Sus scrofa: one gene and its partner. The protein of the gene in region 2 interacts with the protein of the main gene of each other region in a pairwise test. Links are inferred from orthologs where the notes say so. Each region holds a gene or a part of one and is shown on either strand. Other genes may lie near its edges.

The links.
Region 1: the proteins of IGF1R (region 2) and KCNIP3 interact in binary tests that used the Homo sapiens proteins (3 or more experiments, as listed by UniProt). The two-hybrid records come from large-scale screens. The link is inferred for Sus scrofa from reciprocal best matches to the Homo sapiens genes IGF1R and KCNIP3.

Annotation. Positions count from the first base shown.
Region 1 is NC_010445.4:45,997,116-46,001,493, forward strand, and holds the start of KCNIP3 (calsenilin), read right to left. Parts: upstream 2,803-4,378; 5' UTR 1,465-2,802; coding exon 1,402-1,464; intron 1-1,401. UniProt on the Homo sapiens protein: Calcium-dependent transcriptional repressor that binds to the DRE element of genes including PDYN and FOS. Affinity for DNA is reduced upon binding to calcium and enhanced by binding to magnesium. Seems to be involved in nociception.
Region 2 is NC_010443.5:137,389,471-137,393,623, forward strand, and holds the end of IGF1R (insulin-like growth factor 1 receptor precursor), read right to left. Parts: intron 1,098-4,153; coding exon 716-1,097; 3' UTR 615-715; downstream 1-614. UniProt on the Homo sapiens protein: Receptor tyrosine kinase which mediates actions of insulin-like growth factor 1 (IGF1). Binds IGF1 with high affinity and IGF2 and insulin (INS) with a lower affinity. The activated IGF1R is involved in cell growth and survival control.

The DNA of each region.
Region 1 (4,378 bases), on a different chromosome or scaffold from region 2:
CTCCTGGGTGTCCCCAGAGATGTTCCTGGGTGAGGTGGGAGAGCAGATGGGCCCCAAGCCAGCCCAAGTCAGCAAAGCAGCTCCCACTCTTGCAGAAGATTGTGATAACGAGAGGGCTCCTGATATCCTTTCCTTTGCAGCTCTGGACCCACAGACCAGAAAAGGACTGTGGCTGGCTCAAGGTCATGTGGCTAATCCAGGGGACATGGCCAGGGGTGGGGTCTGACTTGTGGGCACTCACCAAAGGGTCAGAGGGTGCAACAGGCCACAAACCCATGGAGCCAGCCCCCAAATGGGATGGGGCACGTCCTCAGCTGCCTGGTTACAGGCACACCCCTCTCTTCCTGTAGCCTTCCCCCAAGCCCTAGGGAACTGAGCTTTGGAGTAAGAGAGAGCAGAGTTCAAACCCAGCTGTAACACTTTGTACAGCTGGCAGGCTCCAGTTTCCTCATCTCTAAAGTGGGTACAATACCAAGAGCTACCTCGGGGGCAGCATGGGGGTCCAGGAAGATCACGCAGGTGCGGGGCCTGTTGGGAAGACCATGGAAGCAGGAGCGGCCACCTCAGGCTCCCACCCTTCAGCCCGGACTTTGTCCCAGGCTCCAGCTGGAGAACAGTCAGAGCCACTTCACTACTCATCTCGATTTGGGGCTTGATTTCTATCTTCAGAAACAGAGGAGAAAATTAGGGCCCACCTCCCACGAATGCCCTGCAAGAAGCTGGGAACCTGGGCAGGTAGAGGGTGGACATGCCAGGCCATGAGGACCAGGTTGGTAGCCCACACCTGCTGCAGCCGGCCATGGGTTCTGTTTGCTCCTTTCTCATAAGAGCTCACGGAGTTCATGTCCTGTCTGCACAAGCCTTGCCACCCCTAGGCCTCACATTTGCACAAGGGGAAGTGGCAGTGCCTACCCGCCCCCCGCCCCCGGGATGTTGTGAGGATCCACAAATGACAGTGACAGACAGCAGAGGGTGGGTGAGGGGGGCCGACTCCCAGCCTGTGCTCTGTGCTCTGTGCCATAGTCCCTATTGCCGCTACAGAGGAAGGTGATTTTTCAATCTCCCAGCCGACCTTGGAGAGGCACCGGGTAGTGTCACTGTCCCTGCCTCACCAGGACCAGAAGGTGTAGGACCAGTTCCAGTCTCTGGCCAGGTCAGTTTCAGGAAGGCCACCAGCAGGCACAGTGACAGCCACTGGGGCTTGGTTATGGTGGAGGGCAGTGTGGAGTCACAAGGGCTTCGGGAAGGGCCAGATGCACCTGCAGGACTTGAACCATTCATTCCACCCCCCTGGCAGGGACAGGGAGTAGCCTCCTGGCAGGTAGGGCCAGCACAGGAAAGATAGGAGGACTGTCCCCTGCCCAGGGACATCTGCATGCAGCCTGACTCTAGAAATCCTACCTGAGTGCACGCAGCTTGTGCTTCACAGGCCGCTATAGGTGGTCGCATGGCGTGGCTGTGCATACTGCATGCTTATGCTGATGCCTGTGGATCCATGAGACCTGTGCTTGCCGCAGCATGTGTGTGCAGTGACCACACAGTGTGTGAGCCTATGACAAGGTGCTAAGTTTCTCTCCTTCTGTCCTACCAGCCTGAAGGTTGCTGGGGAGATTTAAGGGGACAGGAGATAAAATACCTCTTCCACATGCCCTGTTGCCAGGCTCATGGGGTTTCATGTCATCAGCTCTACCCATTCTCCTGGCACCCTTGAGAGATGGACCAGAAAGACCAGGGGTGGCCTGTGGTCTGGGGTACGGTGGCCTGGAGCCAGCAGCCACAAGCCCACTCTGGGCTGCTTGTCCTCGTGGGTGACAGAGGCGGGCATATATCTCTAGGGGGCTGGGTAGGGGAGACTGCCAGATGCCAGCCCTGTATCCATTCTTCCTTATTCACAAAACCTTGATTTGAGGTGGGTTTTTCCTGCCCTTACTTCTTTCTATTTCCTGTGTGTGCTGGCTGGAGCTCCAGCAACCATTTTGGACCTTAAGGTAACCTCAAGAATGGAAGCCAGTGAGACAGATGGATCCTGAGAGCCCCTGCTGAGACAGATGGAGCCTAGTCCCTGCTGACTGTGGGGCCTCCGTGCCAGCCCTCTATTACCTCCCTCCAAATTTTTTCAGCATGACAGAGAAACACAAGCAACCTTGTTCAAAACCACTGTTATTTGGGCTGTTCTGTTACAAGCAGTCAGATCTAATTCTGGTGTTTCTTCTTCCTTCCAAAGGAAGACTGTTTCAAACATGTGGGGAGCTGACAAGGCATCAATACACATTTTCCACGTATTGACTGTATTCTGGGGGACAGCTTATTTTCCTTCCCTTTGTTTTTCTGCATTTCATTACTCTTCATCCTTCCCATCACCTTGCCACCATGTCCTGAACTCTATCCCAGGCATTCTCCTCACACCATCTCTCTCCAATCTCCCAACAGCCCCACAGAGTTGGAACTACCAGTATGTGTCCCAGGCAGGGGTCTCAGAGTCCTTTAGGAAGTGGGCATTCATTAATTACCTGCACTTATCCACCAGCCTTGAAACTTAAGACATCCTCTCCCAGCACTCACCCTTCCCCTACACGACAGCGGTGGGCTCAGGGTCAGCACCTGGCACCTGCCCCATAACTTAACCACGTGACCGACCCCAGGCTCCTCCTCCGCACAGACGCTTAAGGTCCAAAGGGGACCCCAGGAGTCTAGCCTCCCAGCCAGGGCACTCCAGCACTTACTTTCTTAAAAGCGACCCTACAGGGGACATCCGGGGATGGGGTCAAAGGAGGAGGCACAACAAGGCTCTCTGGTCCAGGGCAACCCCCAGAAGCCCCCGCTCCCCAGCCCTAGGCGAACGCCCAGCACCCCAGCTCCTACCTTTGCCCGCTGCATCCTGGGCGCTGGAGGAAACTGTTGCCAGCCTCCCCTGAACGCAGTCGAGGCGAACAGGACTGCCGCCACCGCCGCCGGGCTGGCAGCCGCCTCATGTTTGCTTGGATCCAGACGTAATTGTTACTGGCGGCTCCACGCCCGCCCCCTGCCCACCCTCCCTCCGTGCGCGCGTCTACACTACGCTCCACCCCCTCTGCTCTGCCTCCCTCCACGCTCAACCTCTCCGGTCTCTCGCTCTCATCTTTTCCGTCTCTCCCAGGCTCTCTGGCCCACTCTCCGTACAAATCGTTCCTAACATCGCCCTCTTGGCCTGTCGAAGTCCGGTTCTCTCAGTGTCCCCTCTTCCCTGTCACCAGGTGTCTCTGTGTGCCACCTCCCCCCAACTGTCTTTCTCTAACCCACACTCTCTCTGCTCCCCGACCTTGGAACAGGGAGGTGGGGGTGCAGAGAGCCCGGGCTGGGGGGAGGGGAGCTCAGGCACAAGTTCCTGTCCTAGTAGGGGGCAGGGCAGCAGTGGGGCCTGGAGAGCCTCCCAGAGCATTTTCCAGAACAGGCCAGCCCCTCCCTCATCCTACTGGCCCCTTCTTATGGACCCCAGGTGGCATGACCTCCCAGATGAGCTGAGGCCATTGCAGTCAAGGTGAGCTGCGGAGAGGGGGCTCCCTGCTGTCCCTCCAGCTACCCTACAGATGACCTCTGAGCACCCCTGGCATCTGGAATATCCTCCTGGTAGGGACATTCTGGGTGCTGGGCCCTCTCACCACCACCGCCACCACCACCACCCCCGCCATGGTGATGGCTACCATGGCACATTATGTGGGTCACAGGCAGGGGTCTTGCACCTGCTTCATCTATGCCCACCTTTACCCATCTCCTTTCACCGTTCAGGGGCTCTGCCTGCCATGGGAGAGCCCACCCCAGCCCTGAGCTCCTTAACACTCTCCAGGTGGCCTGGCATCTGTCCCCAGTGTGTGGGTCCGGAATGGGACCACATCAGGGCAGCTGAGGGACCTGGCCAGAGCTCCTGGTGGTGGAGGGAAGGAGTGAGAGCCCCTGAGCATCCTGGGGAAGGGGTCCCTTCCTGCCCCTTAGGAGGGCAGACTCCTGGGCATTTGCTCAGTCCCCAGGGAAACCTCCCAGGAGCCAGGTGCCTGAAACATCTGCCAAGTTTCCCTTTTCTGCACCCCGAGGAGAGAGCCAGCCTGTGCCACTGGTTCCCATGGAAACAGAGCCCTGAGACACCCCCTCCTCTGCTTGCACAGGAGCTCTTGCGTGCCCTTCTCCATTTTTTTGTTTTGTTTTGGGGGGTTTTTTTGAGGCAGCCAATCAGCTTCAACTTTCAGATCCTGGGCAGGAAAAAAATAGTCTGGAGCTGTTGACCCATGGAGGGAGGAGGACTGTTTCCTGAGCAGAGGTGGCCCAGGGTGTCTGGCCCGGCTGGACTTCCAGGCCCGCCTGGGCCTCACACTGGGCAGCGACTCAGAGGACACTGGATGCCCCT
Region 2 (4,153 bases):
GAACCCTGGGGCCGATCGGGCGGAGAGCATCATCAGCGTGGCTCTTACAAGTGACCAGCTACCGTGCTCGCCCCGGGGTCTCTGGAGACAAGACGACAGTGAGGGGACAGTGAGGGAGAAAGTGCGGGGTTGTGGCAGAAATTTGGCAGCGTTAACATGGTGACAACCTGGGATGAATGATGGCCCTTTTTAAATTTCGTATGTCCCTAAAGGTTCAAGATTCAGTTAAAAATTTTCATCTCAACATGTTTTTTTACAAAGACCTATGGTGTGTTTGGGGCAAGGTGGGGCCTTGGAGGGACAGCTCTTTCCTCAATCCTACATGAAGGGCGTCCCGGCTGGGCTTGCAGCAAATGCGTTTCCATCGAGAAGCAGAAAGAAAAAGGTGAGAGACAGAGGGAGAAAGAGGAGAGAGGGACAGGGAGGGGGTGAGGAGGCTTGATTCTCAAGTGTTCTGTTGCTATTAAGTGTTGTCATTAAGGTTCTTAAAGGCCCGTGTCAGTTAAGGGTTTGGGTTGGGAAATAAAAAGCTGCTTGCATATTGAAAAAAGGAACATCCCAAATGTGTTTACTGCAGAGAAGCCGTCTCCCGTGGGCAGCAATGGCAGTTCTGGAGATCCACTGAGGTACAGGAGGCTGTGAATAGATTGTTAAAACTCTCCCCCCGCCCGCCCGCGTGCGCACGGTACTGTTTGCACGGGATCGGGATCCAGGATCAGCAGGTCGAGGACTGGGGCAGAGGCAGGGCCCGCTCGTTCTTGCGGCCCCCGTTCATGTGCGCGTAAGGCTGTCTCTCGTCGAAGCTGGCTCGCAGCACCAGCACGCCAGGGCCTGGGCCGTTCTCAGCCTTGTGTCCTGAGTGTCTGTCGGGCAGCGGCAGGGAGGACGAGGAGGCCGAGGGGTCCAGGGGGACGCTCTCCATGTTCTCCGGCTCCAGGTCCAGCTCCTCCGGCTCAGGCGGCTTGTTCTCCTCACTGTAGTAGAAGGAGACCTCCCGGAAGCCAGGCTCCATCTCATCCTTGATGCTGCTGATGATCTCCAGGAAGGAAGGCCTCATCTTGGGGTTGTACTGCCAGCACATGCGCATCAGCTCAAACCTGAGGGGAGGACAGACAAAGATGGGCCCTGCGGAGAAGGGTGGGCACGGCTGGGGCCACTTGCTGTGGCTTCCCCACTGACAGAGACACGGGGAGCGCTGAAAAGGGCTCCGCTGCCCGTCAGGGCCTCTGGCTTTGTATGTATCCTGATGGCGCAGGTGGCCTGAGGCTCCTCCTGACTTACATCCACCACTGCAGTCACTTCATCCAGACCCAGGATGTAGGACCCTCCAGAATACAAAACTCTCCATGATAAAATCACTTCCCGGGAAGGACAAATACAGTTTCACACAGAGTCCATTTTTATAGGTATTCTTTATAAAAAAAAAGCAAATCAGGGAGTTCCCTTCATGGCTCAGTGGTTAATGAATCTGACTAGGATCTGTGAGGATATGGGTTCGACCCCTGGCCTTGCTCAGTGGGTTAAGGATCTGGCGTTGCCGTGAGCTGTGGTGTAGGTTGCAGACGAGGCTTGGATCTGGTGTTGCTGTGGCCGTGGTGTAGGCCGGCAGCTACAGCTCCGATTAGACCCCTAGCCTGGGAATCTCCATATGCTGCAAGGCGCCCTAAAAAGCAAAAAAAAAAAAAAAAAAAAAAAAAAAGTAAACCAGCTTCCTATTTGAAGCATCTCTTGCAGCCACTGATTAAACACCATTTCCAGAATCAATGCAGGAAACCTCTGGTTTCTCACTAATAAGGCTGAGGAGTGATTGCAGCTTTCCCCTCAGGGATCTCCTTCGATTCCACCTGCACTATTTGTTTGGGCCACCTTTGCAGCAAGCAGAAGTTCCTGGACCAGAGATCAAACCTGAGATCCTTATCCTGCTGAGCCACCAGGGATCTCCACCCAGGCTCTTTCTAAGCTTCCTCTTGGTGGCAGGGGGCCACCGGCAGAGAACCTGAGGGCAGGCAGTGTGAGGGAGGTCAGCCTGGGAGCCAGGCTGCGCTGAGTCTTTTGGGGGGCCCAGTGAGGATCTGCTCCAGAAGCCAAGAGGCTGGTGGGGAGAGCCTGGTTCCCAAGTCTTGGCACAGGCACGGGGCAGGCAGAGAGGGCACCTGGACTGCAGCTGCTGGGAAGTGCTGAGTCATGTGGCCACAGGCAGCGTCCTGGCCCAAGAGCAGGAGGCTGCACAGGGAATAGCAAGGTGCAGCAGTGCTGTCAGGGCAGCCAAGAAAGGCCCAGGCTCTGATGAGGGGTTCAGAATGGCTACAGGAGGAGGGGTGCTCCTTATTAATTGGGGTGTAGAGGGGTCTGGCTAAGTAGACCTCTGGTGTGAAAGGAGGGTGGTTGAGCAAATGTCCGGGCTGTCCAGAGCACAAAGTTCCAAGAATGGACCAGCTGGTGGCCCATTGTCACAGAGACTAACGTGCCTTCCCTTCCACTTGTGTTCTCTCCAGAAAACTCCATTCTGTTTTGTTTTAAAACTGCTGGCTAACTATGGAGAACAGTTTGGAGATACCTTAGAAATCTATACATAGAACTTCCATATGACCCTGCAATCCCACTCTTGGGCATCTATCCGGACAAAACTCTACTTAAAAGAGACACATGCACCCGCATGTTCATTGCAGCACTATTCACAATAGCCAGGACATGGAAACAACCCAAATGTCATCGACAGATGATTGGATTCGGAAGATGTGGTATATATACACAATGGAATACTACTCAGCCATAAAAAAGAATGACATAATGCCATTTGCAGCAACATGGATGGAACTAGAGAATCTCATACTGAGTGAAATGAGCCAGAAAGACAAAGACAAATACCATATGATATCACTTATAACTGGAACCTAATATCCAGCACAAATGAACATCTCCTCAGAAAAGAAAATCATGGACTTGGAGAAAAGACTTGTGGCTGCCTGATGGGAGGGGGAGGGAGTGGGAGGGACCTGGAGCTTGGACTTATCAGACACAACTTAGAATATATATACAAGGAGATCCTACTGAATAGCATTGAGAACTTTGTCTAGATACTCATGTTGCAACAGAACAAAGGGTGGGGGGAAAAATGTAATGTATACATGTAAGGATAACCTGACTCCCTTGCTGTACAGTGGGAAAATAAAAAAAATTTAAAAAATAAAAATAAAATAAAACTGCTGGCTAAAGGAATGCTTGTCAATAAAAATCTCCAAACGGAACTCCCCACATCTAAGAAGCTCAAAACACCCCAAACTGGCTTCCAGCCTCAGGCAGGCCAACATCTGACAGACCACGTGCCTAAGGGAAGGTTCCCAGGAAAGCAAGCCCGTGGGGCACAGGAAAGCTCCCAGGCCATCCCATCCACCAGCTGCCTGCTACTTTGAAAGACGGGGCCGGCAGAGGAGGGGGGGCAGTCAGGTCAAGTCAGAGGGAAGAGGAGGTGACCTTGAGGGAGGGTGGGACTGGGAGCAAGGTGGCTGCCTGCTTTTGTAAATCAAGTTTTACTGGGAGAGAAACACGCGTTTGTTTACATATGGTCTATGGCTGCTTTCAAACCACAACTATGAGTCGAATGTTGCGATTGTTTGGCTTACAAGGCCGAAATATTTACCGGGTGGCCCTTTATAGAAAAAGCTTGCTCTAGCGGAAAAGGAACTAGACAACACATGAAAATGACTAATTTTTCTTCCTCCCAACTAAACCACCTCCACTATGCCATGACACCAACCTCATGGCAATTAATTAATGATCTCAGTAGTTTTACAGATGTAAGTTGCTTTACTCTTCATGAGCCTGGGAAGGTGTGTATCATAACATTATCCCCATTTTGTAGACAGGGAAGCAGAAGTACCAAAGAGATTAAATAATTTGTCCAAGTCCTCAAACTAGTGAGGTGGAGCAGGGATGGAGTTCTCGGGAGTGGTGTGGTTACACTTTGAATGCCACCTACTTCAGAAAGGAATTTGCTCTCAACCTAAACAAGAGAAACCACAGACTCTCCCTCTCCTGGCTGTGCACTGGCAGTGACAGGTGTGGGGGCAGCTTGTCCCAGGCTCAGATGGCAGATGAGCCTCCTCCCACATCCCCATCCTCATCACTTCCTAAGAAAAGGACCCCCTCCTCC